Linked DNA regions of Caenorhabditis elegans. The protein of the gene in region 2 interacts with the protein of the main gene of each other region in a pairwise test. Each region holds a gene or a part of one and is shown on either strand. Other genes may lie near its edges. The genes, in order: C15H9.4, vab-9, vpr-1 and exp-2.

Region 1 (5,556 bases), on a different chromosome or scaffold from region 2:
ACACAGAATCATGAAACTTGGCTAAAGTTATTTGTCATCTTGGATCTGTTCTGCTGCGCATTAGTCGCTTTTCCAATTGTTTGGTAAGATTTCAGATAAAATCTATTTAAAATATTTGGAGGATCATTTTGACTAGAAATTGAAATTAAAATTCAACAGGTTTTTTGAAATATTAACAACATAGAACAAACTGACTAATCAGAAAAATTGTACTAGGTTTCGTAAAAAAGATTATCCTATACGTATAACCCAATTTTGATAGAAAAATAACACTGATACTGGAAATACTGAAATTTAATTATTTTTTTATAAATTTTAGGTCAATTCAACACTTGGTAGAGGGAGCCACTACAGATGGAAAAGCCGCAGCCAATTTGGAAAAACTACGTTTATTTCGACAATTTTATATTCTCGTTGTCGTCTACATCTACTGCACGAGGTTTTTTGGCTTCATATTACTCGTGAGTTTTAGAATTATAACAATTAAACATGTACAAAAAAAATTCTTAGCTTCAAGCCAGCGCCAGTGGGAAAAGTGTTGAAACCCCACTTTTGTGGTGCCAAAATTCCAAATATCACAGTACAACTTTATACAATTTTTTTAAATTTTTGATATTTCGTTTCAAAAACTGGTAATTACTCAGGTTTTACTACTTCATTGAAGTGGTCGGTCAAAAAAAAAAACTACCTTTGGATTTTATAGTCTACGTATGTTTCAAACATCGGTTTTTAAACAATGTAAGTATAGATTGGGACAGTGCCAAAAAAAATGGCAAAATCTCAGTAAATGTCACTTTTTGACTATGAATTCAACATTTGTAAAAGATTTACTATGATATTCGGTCTTTTTGGTAACCTAGGAGCGTGTTCTAACAATATCGTCACCGGCTCCTACTCTAATTTTAATCATACATATGTGTGCATAATTATTCCCGTTCAGCACTTAATGCCTGTGAACCTCCAATGGACCATTGTCGCTGCAGTCGAAATGGTTACCTTCGCATTTTTCATCATCGTTGGCTACAAATTCCGGCCTGCCAATTCACACAATTATCTGCTCTTGAACTCGGATTTTGATAGCTATGATGTGGAGACATCGCCGAAAGAAGATAGGAAAGATAAAGAAAACAATGAGCAAGAAATTGATGAGCAGTGAGTCATTCGTTTTATCATCTTTGTGAAAAAATCAAAACCTTGAGTTGAGAAAATCTTGCAGATTCCTGACAAAAGCCTACTCAGATGCCAATGTGTCGAGGAGATTGGTTTCAGATGAATCATCAAACAACCAAACCGACTATCCCCATCAGAAACTTTTGAAGAAACCGTGAGTGGCTTTCAGTATTAATACATAACATTCAATAATAATCTGTATTTGTTCAGTTCTCAAACCTACGAACAATCATTGCTAGATTAATTATAATCCGTTACAACAACAACAAAAACAACAACGAGTTCAGTGCAAACGGAGGGAGGCTTATCAACTCAACCAACCAACTGTTTCGATTATAATACTATTATGGACAGGATGATCATCCAGACTTCTATCGCGTTCTACTCACTATTTTCAAACATTTTGCTTTTCAAATAACATTTCTACCGGTCCTTTCTAGATGCATGATAATGTGTATATAACTATTTTAAGATAATGATGAAAATTGAAACTGATTTTGAAATATGATAAAAACAATTTCAAATTCCATTGCAATATCAATCATTCCTTAGAAAATATTATCATCATTATCTAAAAACTTCAAGATGTATGAACTAAATTTTTTCAAACATATAGGTGAAAGTACACTGGCCAAAGTGTATAAATTCTAGTCTCCGCCTCCTTTTCCCCATCTCTAATCTTTTTTAGTTGTAACATTTAGTCCAATAAATTTCCAGTCGTGTGATGTGATAACTCGAGACTCCCTGTAAAAAAATATTGTTAATTATTTTTCATTCTATTGTGTACTATTTTCTGAACCTTCTGTGTCTTTGTGTGCTCTATGGTCATCTAGTGAATTCAATATCTTATAATTCATTAATGAAAAGAAGATTTTTTTCCTTACTTAAAATCCTTTGTAACATTGATATAACCTCATATTACAACATCTATACAATATTTCATGCAATTCAGAACGACAAACCAACTCTAATGAGGGATCGCCGCATTGGACAGCTGTCCGAGTTAAAAGGACTAGTGGTAAGAGAGGGGTGAACAAGCATGGCGAAAGGGGGTACGCATTATTGCGTGCGCGTGTTTGCGTACTGCGCGTATTAGCCATTGTCTGCCGACCACCCGGAATCCGGCCATTTTCTGTGCACCGCAATAGCCAATACCGCTCGATTATTAGTTTTACGAGCCAATTTGCTCTTTTTATAATCCATCTTAGCTGTTATCGATTTTTTTTCGAGTTTGTATGGTTTTATATGCATTTTTGTTTTGTTATTAATGCTATTATTATTGGGTTAATTGCGCAAAATAGTTTTCCAAAAGTTTTTATGTTGAAATAATAATTTCCTTCTTTATACTCCTTTTCTAATTATCATCATGGTTTTTTCTCTTTTATCTGTCGTTTCCCTCAAATTGCAAGAAAAGTGTTTTCTTTTTAATTTAATCACAAAATGATTATTTTTAAATTATTAAAAACAATATGATTTATGGTTCAATTTCAACATTCACTTGATGTATATCAATTTATATTGATTTTTCGCGTGAAAATATCTCAAAAGAGCTAATTGAAGCGCGGAAACTTGTTTACTGTGTTCTTTTTCTCTGTCTGATTCACCAGACATCACAATGCTCAGTTAGAAGGCAAAAACATTTTTTCCTCTCCTATATGCCTCTCATTGTTTTGGCCGTTTTTGGCCGTGTGGATTACTGTTTTACAAACTGTAGAATAGAATTTTCACACTTTTTTATTTTTCTTGATGTAAAAACTTTGATTTTGAACTGCAATCCGATAGGGGGAGATCTTCATTGAAAAAACGTTTTACCGCACTAGAATGTTCTCATAATTAATCAAACATTAACCAGTTTTAATCAACTCAAAAAAGTGGAACTTTACCCTTTGATAACAACTCCATTTCCGACTATGATGGTCAACGGTGCAATGATAAGAGAAACGTCTCCCCCTGTATATTGACATTTATGTGCTTTTTCAATTTTCCATTGACTACATATAAGACAGTAAGGTGGACAATAGGAAATAGTTTTGCTCTATTTTATGTTTTTGTTCACCACTTCCGTACCTGCAAAAAAGAATTCAGAGCTTGAAACCTTGCCACCTATTACGACCACAGTTTGCGTACAAATGAGTGTGTGTGTCCGTTCGCGTCCGGCCAATCCTCTCTTCGTCGCCTAGCCGTTTTTTCGCGCGCCTCGATCTTGATTTTCCGCGTTCCTGCAGTTTTCTGTGTTTTTCCGAAACTAGGCAAAATCAAAACGCGGCGCTCGATTTCTTTTCCATTTCCTGTTGACTAAGAAAAGAGTGTTTTAGTCAATCTTCCAAAGTGGTTTGATTGACATCGACGCCCCTATTTCACCACCAAAGCGTCTTCTTGCCCCCCGCTTCTTTCTTCCCTCATCTTTCAACCCTTGCCCCATAGATGGATGGCTTTTACATACTTTTGGAATACTTGCACTTCTCCCGCTGCTTGCTCTGTGTAGTTCAAAGTTGTCGAGAAGAACAAAAACTGCAAAAGGCATTTTCTTTTTTTTTTGCTTTTTCGCTTCATAGATCGTCGTCATGAATTATGTTTGGCGCGTTTGAGTGAGGTGTGAGTGCAAAGACCTTGAAAAACATTTCAATCGTTTTTTTCACAGATGAGCAGGTTGCCTATATATCTCCCCTCTCGTCAACTCGCTTTTTGTCACCATTGTTCTTTTGACCATTTTTACCACCTCTAACCTTTCGGGTTGATGTGTATCTCAATACTTTTTACGGTTGCGCCGCATTAGACCCCCGCGTTCGGGAGGAGGCTACCCCACAAGTGTTGACATACTCTTCAACGTTTCTACGTTTAGTTGTGCCCTCAATTTGTTATTTTGATTTCTTTTGGGCAAACATAACTATATTCCTTTTATTTGCCAATTTAATGTTTCAAAAAGTCGATTAATTACGTTCACAGCTCCCTTTACGAAATAGTGATGTGAATTGAAAATTTACTGGAGAATGAACTACTGGGTTTTAAACTTTGTCGTAATAAGTGCAAATAATTAACCGGATTTTTTTCTCAAAATTTGAATACCCGCGCAAATTCTTGCTGAACAAATTTTGTATGTTTTTTTTCCAAAAAACATTTTTTGTAGCAAATGAATTTAATATATTTTTTATAAAATAACCAAATATCATAATAAAACTTTAAAAAAATTTTGAAAATGTTTTTTATTTTGAGTAAAAAAGCTGTGAAAACTCAGTATTTATATATTTTTTCTATTTTTATTTTTTCAAAAATATTTTTTCATCCAGTTTTGTGCTTTGATTATATTCAAAATACTTATATTCAATAATTTCCGCATTGTAGAGATTATAACTTTTTACCGCTTCTGACTCGAAATAAGATTTTGTCCAAAGTTTTTTGATAAGTTCTATTATCATATTTGGTCATCATATATTATAAATCATGTAACTATATAAATATTTTAGGTCATAGCAAAAATGAATAGGAATTTCAAAAAAAAAATAAAAGCAAGTCCTTATTTGTTTTGCATACTTTTTCTAAATTTCTTTCAAGTTTTAGTTTTAATGTTAAAAAGTATAACAAACCGTCTAAAACTAATAATAGAGCGTCTTTACAGTCCAAACAAAATACGTGAAATTGATTTCCCGCCTCTTCAGACTTTTTCAAGCTGAAATATTTCGATCTCAACATTTTTGTTTAAATTTTGTAATAGCACAAAGTTCCAGAGTGCATTCTACATGTTTAACCATTTTTCCCCATTTCCACATTTTTCAATCGATGAAAAATTAATATAATGGCGTCGGATGAGACATACATTCTTTTATTTTCAAAATGTTCAGAAAAAAAGTTCCACTCACACCTCGTGATACAGTGACTCAGCCACTTTGAAATGACCAATTGTTAGAAAACTATTTAGTTGGTGGTTATAATTTACGTTTATATTTTAAATCATTTGACATGTTTCTCATTAAATTCCTTGGTAAATAATTTGTATTCCATCCATCACAATTTTCACAAGGACAAATACATAAATCATATTGTATTGTCGTATTAAGAAAGAAAAAAAAAACCAAATCTTGTTCGATTTTACTGTTTTTATAGTCATTCGAATGATGAATGATGGGTATGTAGGAAAGGTATGTACATAATATTACACAACTATATATTCCAAACTTCATTATACCGATAAGAAATTCAACGAAATTCTCCGACTTTTAGAGAAAAAGTTTGATAAGAGTCGATAGGCCTACATTTTGGCAGAACGAAAATTGTAGCCTGTTCTTTGGGGGTTTGAAGCTTGCGGGGCAACACAGGGGCATCATAGGGCAACACAAGCAACAAGAGAAGACCCTCGCTAGTTTCGCTTTTCTTTTTTCCTTTGTTCGA
Region 2 (4,680 bases):
TTCTGACCCAGATTATCACATCACATCACACATTTAGTATATCGCCAAGATCTATCTTTTTCCACTGCTTTTTCACTTTGTTCCTCTAAAAATATCTCTTCATTTTACACTGAATTCTCATCGGGCTCCCACCATTCACTCCTCCCACGAACACTTTTTCGCACTCATCACGTACCAATATCTCTTGATTTTTCAAATGTTTAAAATCCTGTTCAAAAACTCTTGCATTTGCAAAACATTTCAAATCATTTGCCATTTTGTTTTTTCGGTAACATCTGAGAAAGGGTGCTTGTCGGCTCTTTTTTGTTTGATGGTTGTTCGAGGCTCAAAATTTGAAGAGCACACAAAGGCATGCACAAATACACAAATACTAACGGCATTTGCATGCTTGGTGAACGACTAGGAGGCTGTTTTTTTTTGAAGTGAAAGCGTGCTTCTTTCATTTTCAAACCATTGGCCCCGTTTCAGCTTTCTTATTGATTTTTTAAAGTGATCATCGGCAGCCTTATAAATTTTATCATCAATCATAAAAAGTAATTTTAAAAATGAAGCCTCTCTCACTCGTATCCATTGGTTCTCCAACCTGTTAAACTTTCATCTTAACTGCGTGCCACTTCTCATGTTTAGTGTGTCCAGCTGTTTTTCATTCGGTTGCCTCTCTTCCCCATTTCATTTGTAACAAAACATATTTTGTAACTCAACACTCGATGCATTCTCCTCGTTCACATTATTTTTGAGTGTTCCAATAACACAACTTGAACATCAAAAATCCAGAATTTTAAGCTCAAATCTTTTTCTGTAAAAGACTCTTTAGAAATATGTAAACTTCAATTTGTTGAAAAGTTCGTTTCAAAATGTTTGAAGTTCAAGCTCTTCTATCTTCTTTCCCAGTTTCTAATTTTCTTTTGTTGACTTCTGCTCTTTCTTGTCCTTCTTCTCATAAACCCAGCTGTTCCGGTCCTACTTCTCCTCCTTTTCACATTTTCGCAACTTGTAATAATAACTCACAACTCATCCTCCGTCTCCACAGCTTCCCCCGATCTCTACCACGAAACTATTTTTTTTTACAACTGGATGACAGTTAGGTGTGATTTGAGTCAGTGTTCTGAACATTTTTCAAATCAACCTTTTGGTTAAAAAGTTTATTTTAATAGAGCACAACTTTTCAATGCTCATTTTCTAGTCGTGCCAAATTCTTCCAACCGATCCATCCTTGTTTTCATTCATTCTGCAAAAACAGACTCTCGATTTCCAACTATACAAAATTCAGGAGAAGCACCACACAAACTGGTGTGTGCGCGTGTATTGGAATGCGCACTGAAATTCAATACACCTTCCATCTCTTTCTTATTTCCTCTCTCCTTCTTTGCATCTTCCAACTATTTTCAAGAGTGTGCTCTCTTGGTGCTCACCGTGTTCTTATTTTTCCGGTTCTAGGATTCCTAAAGTTTTTGGTATTTTTATCGATCAATTTTTAAATAATAAAAAAAAACACGCACACTCACAAAAAAGTTGAATATTTTCTCACTCTTCTAGAATATTCAGAATGTTTATAGGCAAAAAAAAAGAAAAAAAAAATAAACTCTCATTTCTTCGCACTCTCATTTATTCAATTTAGATAGCATCGACTACTTGGTTTTTTTTCTTTTTCTCTTTTTTCTAACATTCACATTTGCTTTGGTGTGACAGTTATAATATTGTGCGTTTATAAATAAATATTTGTCGGGTCGTCAAACGAAAAAAAAGAAGTGTTTCGTGGTGAAAACTAGTTAGCCGATTATACCAGAGCTTCTCTCTTTTTCTCTATCTCTCTAACTCTCTCACTTGAGACTCTTATTTTTCTCCTCTCTTTCTTGCTCTCTTTACAACTTGTAGTACTCAACAAAACTTTTAAAATAGTTACACTATATAGTTTTTTGCCGAAATTATAATGTTGTGATTTCAGAATTCCCGACATCGAGAGATCCTCTTCAAGGGACAAAATGGTAGCAGTCCAACGAACTACCATTGAGGCCGTTTCAGCAGTTAGGCCTCTTAAAGTAAGTCGTTTGAAACATTTATATAACCCTATACTAAGTAAACATATTTTCATTATATAAAACTTACTATTATAATTATGATAATTTTATGATGATTTTTTCAAAGATTAGAAACTAAAAAAAGAGGAGTTACAAGAACTTTTAAATTTTTAATAATTTATCTCCATGGACCATTTTCCAGATAATCTCCTTAATATGCCTAGTCATTGCTGTGGGTCTCATGATTGTTGCTCTTTGCTCAACTTCTTGGCTCAAGACAGGATCATTCAGAACGGGTCTCTTCAAAGAATGCACATCAACAAATGAGCCAACTCATGCTGCTCCATTCCCTGGTGCACCTGCTCCTGGTTCATGTCACAAGCCATCGAGGAATTCTGGTGAGTCAGAAAGCTTTTGAAACTCTTCAATTAGATTCTAACAGTACCAGAAAAAGTTTCAATTTCCATTATTTTTCAGGATTCCTTACCGCAGCAGCTGTTCTTCTCATTGTTGCTCTATTCCTCACTGCACTTTCTACCATTTTCAATATTGTTGGACTCAGCAAATCAGATGTCCGTGGAAAATATCGATGGTACCGAATTGCGACAATGATTTCTGGATTTTCTGGTGAGTTTTTCAGAGTTTTTTTTTTTTTTTTTTTGCAAATTAATCAAATTGGTATAATTTCAAAGCGACATAATGAAATTTTAATGACCGTCACTGAATTTTTAAAAATTCAATTTGTCTGTAATATAATAATTATTTCAATTAAAATCCGAACTAGGCAGATATTGTATTTTTCAAAATGTTTATTCAAACTTTGAAATTTTGAATAAAATTAGGCCTAAATGCTAATCAGTGCAAACAAAAAAAAAATAAAGAAATCACAAAAAACTTAATTTACGAATAATTTCAGTTCTACTGGAATTGACCGCTTTGATTATGTTCCCAGCTGCATTCTACGTAAAAATAAGTGACTACGGTAGCCGCAGGAACTGGGAAGTTGATTGGTCATATGGTATTGCATGGGGAGCAACACTTTTTACAATTGGTGCAACGATTATGCTGATTTGTGATAAGGAACACGAAGAAGTTTATTATAAAGAAAAAACTATCTACAATCCACCACCAGAGCTCTCCGACCGATAGTCTAATTTTTTGAACTTTAAAATTTTTTTTTTTTGAAAATTTTTAAACGACTTTCCATTTGAAAAAAGTCACCTCAACTCCTCGAAACGTGTATTTCTCAATCCGATCCGAATAATATTAATTTTTTCTGTACATAATTTTATTTTTTCTCCCATCAACCTTGTTACGATGCCGTGCATTTTCTATCGGTGATCTTTTCTTCCCTTGTTTTTTATGAAGAATTTTAATTTCAAGAATAAAACTTCTATAATATCCAACCCGGTTTATGTAAAGCTCCGGCTCGTTTATGAGCGGGACAAGATACCCCGAGACCCTGACGCGCAGTATGCGCAAAGAAACGAATAATATATATAAAATTCTCGGCTCTGAGCAGAACTTTCTCCCAAAGCTTTATATCAAACAATGAGCTGTTCAGATAATTTTCTGTCAGTAACATGAAAACCTATTTGAGCAGTTTCCAATAAGTTTCCAAGATGTTGCCAGAGAGTAACCCTTAAATGCCAAGCTATAAACATTAAATTGACTGCTGCAATTTATGAAAAATCTTCGAACGCAATTTCAATTTTAGCAGCTACCCTTTTCAAAGAAAAAATGTTGTCTTTTTTTGAAATAAAATAAAGTTTGCTCACTTGATAACTCACTAAAATATACTCTCGAAACTTAAGAAATTTCTCGTGATCGGGAAACATTTTCATTTTAAATTCGCAACAAAAAAATGTGCCTCTCTTGAACCTGTTAACTAACAAAAAGGTTTAAAGTTTGACTGGAATTTCTAATTAATTTTTTCCATCCAATATTACACCTCTTAATCTTCTATTTTCCTGCCTCCTATTTCCTCACATAGTTCTGAAAAAAGTGACGACAACGATGATGATCCGAAAATTCTTGTTTAAAAGTATAATGAGATGCCATTCTTCTTACTTTCCGTCGTTGTTGATTCAAAAGTTTCAAAAGCATCGCAGCTTCTTCTTCTAAATCCGTGCCTAATCTGTTCCACCAGTGACGGAAATCTATTCTGAACTGACCACGGAAATCATGTAACAAGTTATTGCGTCACATAGATAGATGATTATGTGAAGAAAAGTTACGGCAAAAAATGGATTAGGTTGGGAAAGAGAAAAGAGATTAGAGTGAGTAGGCAAAAACGGGAAAGTGGTAGAAAATGGAGAACAGGTAGGTTACTGTAGAAATGGAAAACAGATTAAGAAGAAAAAAAAAATTAAGAGTTGGATTTGTAATGCTAAAGATATACTTGACTTGAAATATATGTTTAGTGAATTCTTTTTGATGTACAACTGATTTGATTCTGAACTTTGAACTTATTTTAACAGATTTCTATTTGGAATTTCACAATGAATCAGTCGGTTTTACTTATCAATAACTCTAGTCGATCATCATTTTAAAACTACCATAAATAAGCTTTTGTGATCGCAGAACAGGCGTTACTACATAACTGTGCATGTACAAACCAAAATTTATAAAAATAACTCTTTTTTAAATAAATTTCTATTAA
Region 3 (5,146 bases), on a different chromosome or scaffold from region 2:
ATTACAAATCGAGAAGAAACTAAAAAAAAATCTTACCAACGAGACTTGTGGAACATCTAATCCTCTCGCCCAAACATCAGTTGAAATGAGCACTCTCGTTGTTCCTGCTCTGAACTCTTTCATAACTTCATCACGATCCTTCTGTTCCATATCTCCGTGCATTGATGACACTGTGAAGTTGGCTTCCTTCATTTTATCCGTCAACCAATCAACCTTTCTACGGGTATTACAGAATAGTACAGCCTGTGTGATGGTAAGAGTATCATAAAGATCAATAAGAGTGTCGAACTTCCATTCTTCTCTGTCAACTGCAACGAAGAATTGCTTGATTCCTTCAAGTGTCAGTTCATCACGTTTCACAAGAATTCTGATAGGATCTGTCATGAATTTACTGGTCATCTCTAGAATTTCATGAGGCAGTGTGGCTGACAGAAGTACGACTTGTGCTCCAGGTGGAAGATATCGGTAGATATCGTACAACTGCTCCTTGAAACCTTTATTCAGCATTTCATCGGCTTCGTCAAGAACCAGAAGCTTGATCGCTCGGGTACGAAGATTACGACGGCGAATCATATCAAATACTCGTCCTGGAGTACCAGAAACCACGTGTTGACCGTAATCCAATTTGCGAATGTCTTCTCCGAGATTTGTTCCTCCGATACAGGCATGACATTGAACATTCATATAGTCTCCGAGAGCAAGAACTACCTGCAAAATGTGTTTTTTATTGCAACTCTGTATTTATTATATCCATACTTTTTGAATCTGGACAGCCAATTCTCTGGTTGGAGAAAGAATAAGTGCTTGTGTCTCTCGAACTTGTGTATCCAATGATTGAAGAACGGAAATTGAAAAAGTCGCAGTCTTTCCGGTTCCAGATTGAGCTTGAGCAATGACGTCACGTGCTTTAAGAATTGCTGGAACTGCTCTTTGTTGAATAGCCGATGGTTTTTCGAATCCATAGGCATAAATTCCACGAAGAAGGTCTTCTCGCAAACCCATTTTGTCAAATGTTGGAATAACATTTACTTCTTCAGAAGATTCGAATTCCACTGTTGCCATATCATCTTTTTCTGCTTTTTTACCAGCCATTTTGGAAAATCTGAAAAAAGATTAATTTTAAACATCACTCGAGTGACATTTTATTGTCGAGTCGCGTAAATTTCCAGGTAAATACTCCGAGATAATACGGCGAAAAAATTCAAAAATAAAAATAGTTATTGGAAACCATAAACATCAAATTTTATTGTACCATATACAAATCATGTGACTTAAATTGGTTGTTTCAAAGAGCATGGGGCTTTCTTAAAATCCATGGAGTCCTATATCAATCAATGGTTGTACACATAAAATAAATGAGAAAAGGTTGGGGGAACGGGGAACCATAGAATGGAAAATAAATAAATAAAATTCTTGATAATGGCTACCGGGTATGATGATAGGCAGTCACTAGACGGATCTATGATGGTCTAGAAGACGCCGGGAAAAACGGAAAACGAATAAACAAAGGAAAGAAGTGAAAGTAGTTTGAGAAAAAGTTTGAAATTTTTGCGCGCTGCGTTCACTAAAGAGGCAAGTATTCAAAATTTCAAAAAACCGAAAAGTTAAATATGTCAATTTACATTGCAGAAAATAACATTTTGATTTTTGAAATATTCAGAATTTCGCCCTTGGCAGAGAAAAAGTTAGAAAATTTAGGATTTGAAGGTTAAATTTGATGAAAATCCGAATGGAGCAATGCTTGTGTGTTTTAATGTTTGTGGCAGCAAAAAAGCACGTGAATGATAGTACCACTAGTTACTTAAAAGTGAAAATGAAGGAAGAATTGATTCAGAATTTAGAAAAGACGGCCAACAATAAGCCCGATGAGCAAAGCGGCAACCGCAATAAGGAAAATTTGCAATGTTGGGTATGCACCGTCGACAAGAGCTCCATCAGAATGCGATTGTTGAAGCTTGCGGTTCTTCTGAAAATATTTTTTGTAGAAAATTGAACACATATTTTTTTTTCCAAAGTGTAATTAATTTTTTCAAATTTCTTTTCTGATATTACCTTGAGCATGACTTCGATTTCTTGTTCCAATCCATGTACTTTCTTTTGCAATTCTTCTTTCTCGTCAACTGTCGATTTCAACGATTTGCGAAGGGAGTTAACGGTTCCATCATGCGATGGTGTTCCAGAGTACGAACTTCCGAGCTCTCTGCAAATATTAGTTTTTTATTGAATGAAGTTTATGAAGGAAACAATAATTGTTAACCTTCTTTTAACCTCCATTATAAGTAAAAACTCACTGTGCCTGTCCAGAAGAAGCAAAACTATCCTCGTTCCTAACCGCAAAGGTTTTTGTATCATCTCCAGACGCTGGATCTCTCTTGTCAACGAAGGTGACCATAAGCTTGCTGTAGGTCAGCTCCGCTGGATCGATTATTTTCCAGACCGATTCCAAATCTGGCAGATCTTCCGAAGGCGCCACACACGATTGAACCATAAACTTATGTCGTCCTGCATCAGATGGAATTCCTTCCAGAGGTTGAAGCATTACTGTGATTTGTTTCGAGTCACCAGATTTCAGGAGGCCTAAAAAATCAAAATCAGAAGGTCAAAGTAAACTTCAGTTTTAAAAATCAACCAGTCTAACAGATAAGGTCTAAATACAAATCATATTTTTCTTTTTGCGTTTAATTTCACTTTTTCCATATCAAATTGATTTCAATGCAAATAAATCCATCACTCACCAGAATTTGGACGAACACAATATTGCTTTGGAGCCGTTGTTTTCACTTTGAAGCACACTGGATTGGTTGATGTGTTCTTGAGAGTCATGTGTGATGTGACAACATCACTGAATGGGCCAGTGAACACGAGTTCACGATTTGGAGTCACTTGCAGAAGACTGTGCTTTTCAGACATTTTTTTGCTGAAAAAAAAAGTTAGTTCATATAAAATAATTATGTTAAAAAATAAAGATTGATAGGAAGTTTGGATCAAGGCGAAAGAATTAAAAATTGTTTTTTTTCTATTGGTATTTACGTACATCACAAAACCGAACACTAAACGAATATTTTTTCGATTTGCAATTTCGAAAAAGCTATAAAATGAAAAAGTCGCAGTGTATGTTCTAGCGTTATCAGTTTCTCTTGAGTTTTGGCCAGTGCTTAGTGCCTAGAGGCAAGCGTATTTGCTCTTGGCAAAACGAAAAACGAAAAAAAAATCGAAATCGTGTAGAAGTTATACAAATGCTTGTCTATCTTTCTAAATACAGTCTTCAATAATCTTGAATTTGAAATTTGAAAAAAATATGGACGAGTGTATTCAACACAGGTCATAAACAAAATTTAAACAGAAAGGCATCAAAAACGTTGTTCAGCCAGTAATTGAACGTTTGTCAATTGATAATCGGGGAGAGAAAAGTAGAGATGCAACTGATGGATGACCCGATACATGAAAAACACAACAAAAAAATAATATTATTTCCTATATTTTAACAACGAATAAGTCCAAAACTGCACAGTATTGAACAAAGGTTGAACCAATTCGAGAAAATAACAAATTATATTGAAAAATTATTCTGAAACGCTGTCAGATGACATGAATTCGGGTGAGACGTGGAGAGCGCACACGTTTTTCAAAAAATGTTGTCCTGAGAGATGCGTAAGAGATAATAGACGCAGAAGGAAAAGTGTATCTACGTCTCTTCCCTCTCGTTGACTTATAATTCGAGTGTGTGAGTGTACGTGTGAGCGATGTGTGTGTGTGCGTTTGGTAGGGGAGGACGAGTGTGAGCGAAAATGGCTGTCCTGGAGAAGGAGAAACACGTTGTTGGAGACGAAAGAGGCACCGAAAAAACACAAGCATCGTGAAGAAAAAACGATGGGATAAGAGAAGAAGATGGAATAAATTAGGATGAGATGTTTGCTGGTAGAATGTGCAAAATGCACTCAGAGAAGATTAAGCTAAGGCAGTTCTATGCAATAAAATCTTAATTTTTGTATTCCCCAGGAGCCTATAAATTAACCTCCAAGTCAAAACAACAGACAATTGAACCTTTTTTTGAAAAACGAGAAGAGCTGCAGTTTAGAAATGTTCGATATTTAAAATTTCACTCTGATTGAAATCATTATTTGAGCTCATTTATGAAAAAGATTGAGACGGAAATTGAAAAAGTTGAGTTAATAGCCTTATGCGTCAGCGGAAGATTTGATCCATATGAAGAATATTAACAAGTCGCAGTATGTATATCTGATGAAGCTAGAAACAGAAGACTTTTAGAATGAAAAAGACGTCCTCTTCTGCGTAAACAAAGTGCAAAGGACGGCGAATTTGAATGGAAGAGAGAGAGTGCAGACGCAATTAGAGCACCTCGGCTTGGTACTGCTTTAGACTTAGTTTCTCTGTTTTCCTGCCGTCCGGATGTGAGAACTCTCCATGACAACACAGATATTTCCCGTATCACACACTCATCGGAAACATAAGAGGGGGAGAAGGACAACTGGCTCCAACTATCAATCAATCGGGGTTATTTACACAATGATTTTTGTTCTTTTAATGTGCTAATAGAAGAAATATACACAAACACATGGAAGTAATATTGGGGAATTTGCACTTTTCTAGAAAATTAAAACTTGAAGTTTCAGGCTGAGCAAAAATAGCTCAAATAACTCGAAAAAAACTCAGTGAATAACTATTTTTATAACCAGGTTATAGACTAGGCGAAAAGGTACAGAGAGAAGAAAAGTCCGAATTTGTGAAAAATCCCTATTATTCACCAAAAAACAATCTATTTCACTTTTTAGGAGCTTCGACATGTATTGTACACGAATAGCAACATATTTTTGCAAAATACGTCTCAATAAATATTTTTCAGCTAGATATTACAGCATTTTCAAACGGAAAACCAAAAAAATCAAAAGAAAAAGCTAAATTTAAAAATATGTTGCATGTGGCAATGCGCGTAAGCTTCGCCGTAACGTACGCAAACACCGCGCCTGTTTTTGGCGCAAAATTTGAAACACATTTTTTGCATTTCTCAATTTCAACGTTTATTTTTTCTCTGAATCACTTCTCGCTATTTAGTGTCTTTTTTTAAAGAAGGAAATCAACATTATTCCGTTTTGAACAGTAAAACCTTTATTTCAGACTGAAATTT
Region 4 (5,518 bases), on a different chromosome or scaffold from region 2:
GAAAAGCAAACTGGAATAAAATATTTTTCCTTTTTAAATAGTCCATTTAGTTTTCAAAGTTTTTATCATTATCTGTATTATATTTTTCTGATATCTAACAATTAGAAGACGCAAACTACATACATCATTTTTATTTGCATTTTATGGGCATTAAAGTTGCATTTTCTTTTAAAAACATTAAAGGAAATAGTTCTAAACCACTTAAAAATTGACATAGGTAACTTTCACCCTTAATCTAAAATTAACTACAACATTATTTGCTCATTGGCTATCTGTATCTTGCACACATATCTTGCAACGTTTTCTTCCCGATTTCTATTCTGACCCAGTCTACTTTTTGGAGAAAATGTGATGTGGATTACGAGTTAAGAGCTTGTTAGCAACAATTGGTAGCCGTTCATCCATATGAAATCCTCATTCTTTTCCGTTTTTCTGCGAGGGGCGACCCCCCATTCCAAATGCCTTCAGCTGCACTATGTTCTGTTTCTTCTAGTTTCTTATATCCTAATAACCCTTGGTGAACCATTCAGTTAATCTGAGCTAAACTTTTTTTTTAACATGCTGATCCACTGAATGGATTCAATTTTCTCTGTGTAAGTTTTGTTTCGTTATAAAGTTTCATAAAGAATTAGTTACTTGCAAGCAAAAAAGACCGAATGAGCTCCTCATTTGTTGTATGCTCAAATGATTATGTTGGCAGAGTTCATCTCAAGCTTCTCCTCCCGTGTTGTGTTTTTTTCTCGTTTTCTATCCTCGACCGTCTCAACGAGGGAACAAAGATCACGGGAACTTTTTCAATTCGAGAATTGAATAGGTTTTTGCATTTTTAGACTAAATTCTTGTGGCTCTGGGCAAGTAAACGAAACAATTCTCAAGTGGTACTCACAGTGGTCAAATGATTCCTCCAGAACCCGTGGAGCCAGATATATTTTGACATTTTGCTCGAATTTCCACCCTCACACTCTTTTTTTTTTGTCGTTAGTTCTCTTTTTCGATCTTTGCTAGTGAGAAATATTTAGAAGCGGTCTAGTGGAAGAAAATTTATAATCGAGTAGGCTTGAGGTTACACAGGGATGGAGACTCGGAGAAGAGGTGCTAAACGGGTCCATATGCAAAAAGCAAAACAAAAAACCAACTGCCAGAGAAGAATTCGACTTTTAGATTATTGTTCTGGCGTTCGGTTGTGAGAATGAAAATGGCTCAGGCCAGGTAGGTCATACTCAATATTATTTTTTGGTAGCAAATAATTTTCTGAAAAAATTGAATACGAAGATTTAGTGTAGGTCAGACCATATCAAATTAGAGAGCCAATTCTATACTCTTTTTTATCACTCTTACATTCTTTTCCGCACATTGTCTCTGGCAAACAATACCTATCATTTTCACAATGTAAACCTACAAGTGTACCTTACCGACAGATCATCCTCTTCGGCCCCCTATCACTGTGTTTACTTTCGCTCCTAAAATCCTACGTGAGCAACAAAATTTGTCATACATGAATCTCAATTTTACTCGATTTTTATAGTGTTCCATCGATGTGGAGAATAAGAGAATATGAGAATTTTTCACCGCAATTGAAAACATATGTTTTTTGGTTTTTCAATTGATTGGATGAAAGAAGGCAGATATCTTTCGAAGCTCCACTTTGTTTCTTGATTCAATTGCTAGCGTGTTGAATGTTCATCCCGATTCATTTTATATTCTAGAAATTCCAGTCTAGAGAGTCATGAGAGTCATCACCGTAAATCAATCATGTTGCTTTTCCTCCCTTCCAGTAAGTAGATAAAATAGATGCCGAAAAACGGGGCACCCGAGACCAAAACCACAAATTTGGTTGCTTTTCGTCTTCGTCGTCTTTGCCGCCGTCTTCATCGACAACTCGCTCATATTTGGTTGCTAATACTACACATATATATGTAGCAGTGAATTGAAGAGAAACAGACGAATTCCGTCGTATCTATCTCATTCTCTCACTACCTCACCTGCATATCTTTTCCCTCTATAAGCACCGTGCTCCCTCCGGTAAGCTTTGAGCGCCCAGCGCGGTTTCCCACGCGACGAAGAAAAAGAGAAGCAAGGCGTCAATTCGGCCACCTGCTGTCAATCCTCTCTCATTCTCACTCTCTGTGCCGATCCTTCATATCTTCACACCTGCCCTCAGTGGAGCCCCATCCCAGCTGCCAGTGCTCATAAAAAAGAAAAACTAGAAGGACCTTTTCTTATCACCTGTTATTTATCAACTGGTGTTCCTGGGGTCGGACGTCTGAAGTATTAGATACCACAATGGCATGTGCAAGTATTTCTTACTCGGCGCTGGCATATAATGGACAGTAAGTTTTTCTATCAAAGCATACCGGAAGCTTCTAACATCATCATAGATTCACGTCACGCATCCTCATCACATCTTCTCAATCTATCTATTAGTTCTGTTTTCTCTTCTTCCTTTTCTTATCTTAGTGGAAAAAAAAAATAGCTTCACTTTAAATGTGTCAGTCCAATTCTCATCATCCTTGACACCTCTCATCTTGTCACGCACACACACGTGTGATGACACCTCTCTTCTACTTCTCCTAAACCTACTCTGAACACTGCTGAAAACTACTGAAAAAAAAACACTTCACGCGCTAAAACTGAAGTTGCAAAATGGCGATTGCAATATCGCAAGCGGTTCTAGCGCATCGAAATTCTGCAGCAACATTTACGGTCCCTGGCTCGACGGAGCAACTCAAATTCCATAATTACAGGGTAACCGGAAACATGATCAGCGGGTAAGTTGTGATTTTTAATGCCATGACTATCAATCTAACTAAAGATCGGATTGTATCGATCGTGTTTCTCTTTTCATGCATGATGCTTATGTTGTGATGTTTGATATATTAGCTTTTCCTTCCCTGTCACTAAAACTGAACTCTAGACCAAGATATCAACGGGTGTGATGCACTTTGATCTTTTGTTCTAAAATTCTAATCCTCCAATTTTCAGGGCCGCACAGCAGCACAAAAAGCGGCTAGTCCCGCTGCGTCGGACTGATGCAATGACAGTGGCGGAACGTCGAAACTATCAGATTCTAGACGATATTTTTCGATCTGGAGCATCCGATTGTTTCCAACAAGTCAGTTCAGCGGATAACGGAAGCCCACAGTTTTTGAAGCTAAATATTGGAGGCACAAGCTTTATGATTCTAATCGACGCGATTCTCCGCGCAGACACAACTACTTTTCTCTCGCGGTTTGTCCAACTCACACACACAGCTAGATTAAAAGTGAGCTAAAAACTGGGGGATAATCTCATCATATCATCAATCTATTTCTCTTTTATTTAGGTTGCGGATGCCTATATTTCCGCTGATGATGCTTACTATTTCCAACGATCACCTACTTCCTTTGAAGCTGTGTTTCAATACTATGCAACAGGAGTGGTGCATCGACCATCTGAGGTGAATATTAGGAAGTGAAGTGGAAAATATCTACTTTTTTAAAATTTTAGATTTGTCCAGCTTCGTTTCTAAGTGAGCTCGACTTTTGGAGGATATCCCATCAACATGTTGGATCTTGTTGCGCCGATATTATCCCCCAAAAACGGGAAGAAGAGAAAGAAGAAGAAAAAGTAAATCATCTGTATATCACAAATTAAAGAAAAATTTGTTTTAAGGTAGATGATACCACCTTCGATAAGTTGATGTGCGGAAAGTTACGGAGGAGGATGTGGACTTTTCTCGAACGGCCTGGCTCTTCAATGCAAGCAAAGGCATTTGAGTTGTCATCGACTCTTTTTGTAGCAATTTCAGTTATGGGACTTTCTTTTGGAACTATTCCAGATTTTCAAGTAAGTATTTAACTTTCTAATAATTTGGTTAAGCATTCAAATATTCAGGTTACTCATCTTATGCCTCCTCATAATGAAACAGTAGTGTTACCGAATGGAACTGTAACGGTTGTTCAAAAAGTTGAGCAAATGAGAGTGGAACATCCGGCGTTTGTGTTCACGGAACGGATATGCATTGCATTTTTCACTGTCGAATATTGCCTCCGGTTTTTCGCCGCACCACGGAAATTAAGATTTGCGCTGAAACCGCTGAACCTTGTCGATTTACTTGCTATTGTTCCATTCTACTTGGAATTGCTTCTGACATTATGCGGAGTTGATGACAGGAAATTAAGAGATCTACGATGGGCTTTCCTTGTTGTTCGGATTCTTCGAGTTCTTCGAGTTATCAGAATTATCAAATTGGGAAGGTTCTCATCGGGACTCCAAACATTCGGAATGACACTTCAAAGATCACAAAAACAACTACAAATGATGACAATTGTACTTCTGACTGGAGTTGTATTCTTTTCAACCATGATTTATTTCTTGGAAAAAGACGAGGAAGGAACACCGTTCACAAGTATTCCGGCGGCATATTGGTGGTGTATAGTAACAATGACAACTGTAGGATATGGAGATGCTGTTCCCGCAACTACTAGTGAGTTCTTTCCCCTATTTGTGGGTTCTAATTGAATTTAATTTCAGTGGGGAAAATCATTGCATCAGCAGCAATTATGTGCGGAGTACTTGTACTTGCTCTGCCCATTACTATCATTGTCGACAACTTCATCAAAGTGGCTCAAGATGAACAACAAGCGGAGCAACAGAAAAATGACCAGCAAAGCGAGCAACTCGCGTTGGAAGCCATGCTCAATGCCCATGACTAGTATACAAATTATTTCAATGATTAATGTTACGAGTAAATGTTTCCCCCGAAGTTCTATATGTTTTATCAAACTTAAGTGAGTATATTGGTTTTGTTATTTTATTTTCATAAATTTATATTTTTTCTAAATTTTCTATTATGGTTACTATCATTATTTCCGAATCTAAAAATATTATTGAAAAAGAAAACCAATCCAATTTCAACGGGAAACTCCTCCAGTGCACTTTCTCCTACTTTATCTCTCCCCCACTCTCTCACTCTCTTCAACTTTTTTCAAAAAGTCTTGACGGCATCTGACTATAAAGTAAAAAAGAAGAAGATTCCAATTTCTCTTGGCATATTTTTTGATTCAAAGCCGCTTTACACACTCCATCCATTTCCCCATTTCCCCATGTGAAAACACAGAGAAGAACACGCTAGAAAAAAAACTCGAAAAAGACATTAGGCCATTTCCTCTCCCAAGACCCACCTGGATTTTTGTTGTTAGCTAACATATCACTCTCGTCCGAAGGAATGATTTTAATAAAAATATTATTAAAAGTTTGATATTATCACTTTGTTCGATTCGTAACCCGACTTTCCCAAAAAATTCTTTAACTAACCTGAGAATGAGAGCCTCAGTTTCACAGTCTCTCCTTTGTCGAAAACGAGTGTAGAAGCATATCGATCTACCCGATTGATCTCCGGAAGTTGATCCATAGTGAGCTTGCATGAGTGCTCCACTGAACCAGCAGTGTTCTTGACCACAATCTTGTATTCGCCTGAAAACGTTCATAAGTGAAAAGAGATTGAGAAAACGAGAGAAAAGCAATATTCAAATTTTGG

Evidence for each region.
Region 1: the proteins of vab-9 (region 2) and C15H9.4 interact in a two-hybrid assay, tested with the Caenorhabditis elegans proteins (one large-scale study listed by BioGRID).
Region 3: the proteins of vab-9 (region 2) and vpr-1 interact in a two-hybrid assay, tested with the Caenorhabditis elegans proteins (one large-scale study listed by BioGRID).
Region 4: the proteins of vab-9 (region 2) and exp-2 interact in a two-hybrid assay, tested with the Caenorhabditis elegans proteins (one large-scale study listed by BioGRID).

The regions. Positions count from the first base shown.
Region 1 is NC_003284.9:6,095,525-6,101,080, forward strand, and holds the start of C15H9.4 (Transmembrane and coiled-coil domains protein 2), read left to right. Parts: upstream 1-2,118; 5' UTR 2,119-2,188; intron 2,189-5,504; exon of another isoform or gene 5,505-5,556. Other genes in the region: C15H9.5 (GOST seven transmembrane domain-containing protein), read left to right, coding at 1-83, 320-461, 941-1,152, 1,217-1,324, 1,381-1,414.
Region 2 is NC_003280.10:8,634,975-8,639,654, reverse strand, and holds vab-9 (Transmembrane protein 47), read left to right. Parts: upstream 1-1,943; 5' UTR 1,944-1,982; coding exon 1,983-2,039; intron 2,040-2,220; coding exon 2,221-2,416; intron 2,417-2,495; coding exon 2,496-2,645; intron 2,646-2,934; coding exon 2,935-3,167; 3' UTR 3,168-3,422; downstream 3,423-4,680.
Region 3 is NC_003279.8:5,867,038-5,872,183, forward strand, and holds vpr-1 (Major sperm protein), read right to left. Parts: upstream 2,918-5,146; 5' UTR 2,911-2,917; coding exon 2,736-2,910; intron 2,578-2,735; coding exon 2,292-2,577; intron 2,201-2,291; coding exon 2,053-2,200; intron 1,967-2,052; coding exon 1,838-1,966; 3' UTR 1,229-1,837; downstream 1-1,228. Other genes in the region: F33D11.10 (RNA helicase), read right to left, coding at 37-708, 757-1,092.
Region 4 is NC_003283.11:6,138,727-6,144,244, forward strand, and holds exp-2 (BTB domain-containing protein), read left to right. Parts: upstream 1-2,283; coding exon 2,284-2,330; intron 2,331-2,384; exon of another isoform or gene 2,385-2,600; intron 2,601-2,744; coding exon 2,745-2,768; intron 2,769-2,982; coding exon 2,983-3,262; intron 3,263-3,322; coding exon 3,323-3,436; intron 3,437-3,486; coding exon 3,487-3,606; intron 3,607-3,651; coding exon 3,652-3,825; intron 3,826-3,873; coding exon 3,874-4,465; intron 4,466-4,512; coding exon 4,513-4,694; downstream 4,695-5,518. Other genes in the region: ttn-1 (Titin homolog), read right to left, coding at 5,296-5,454.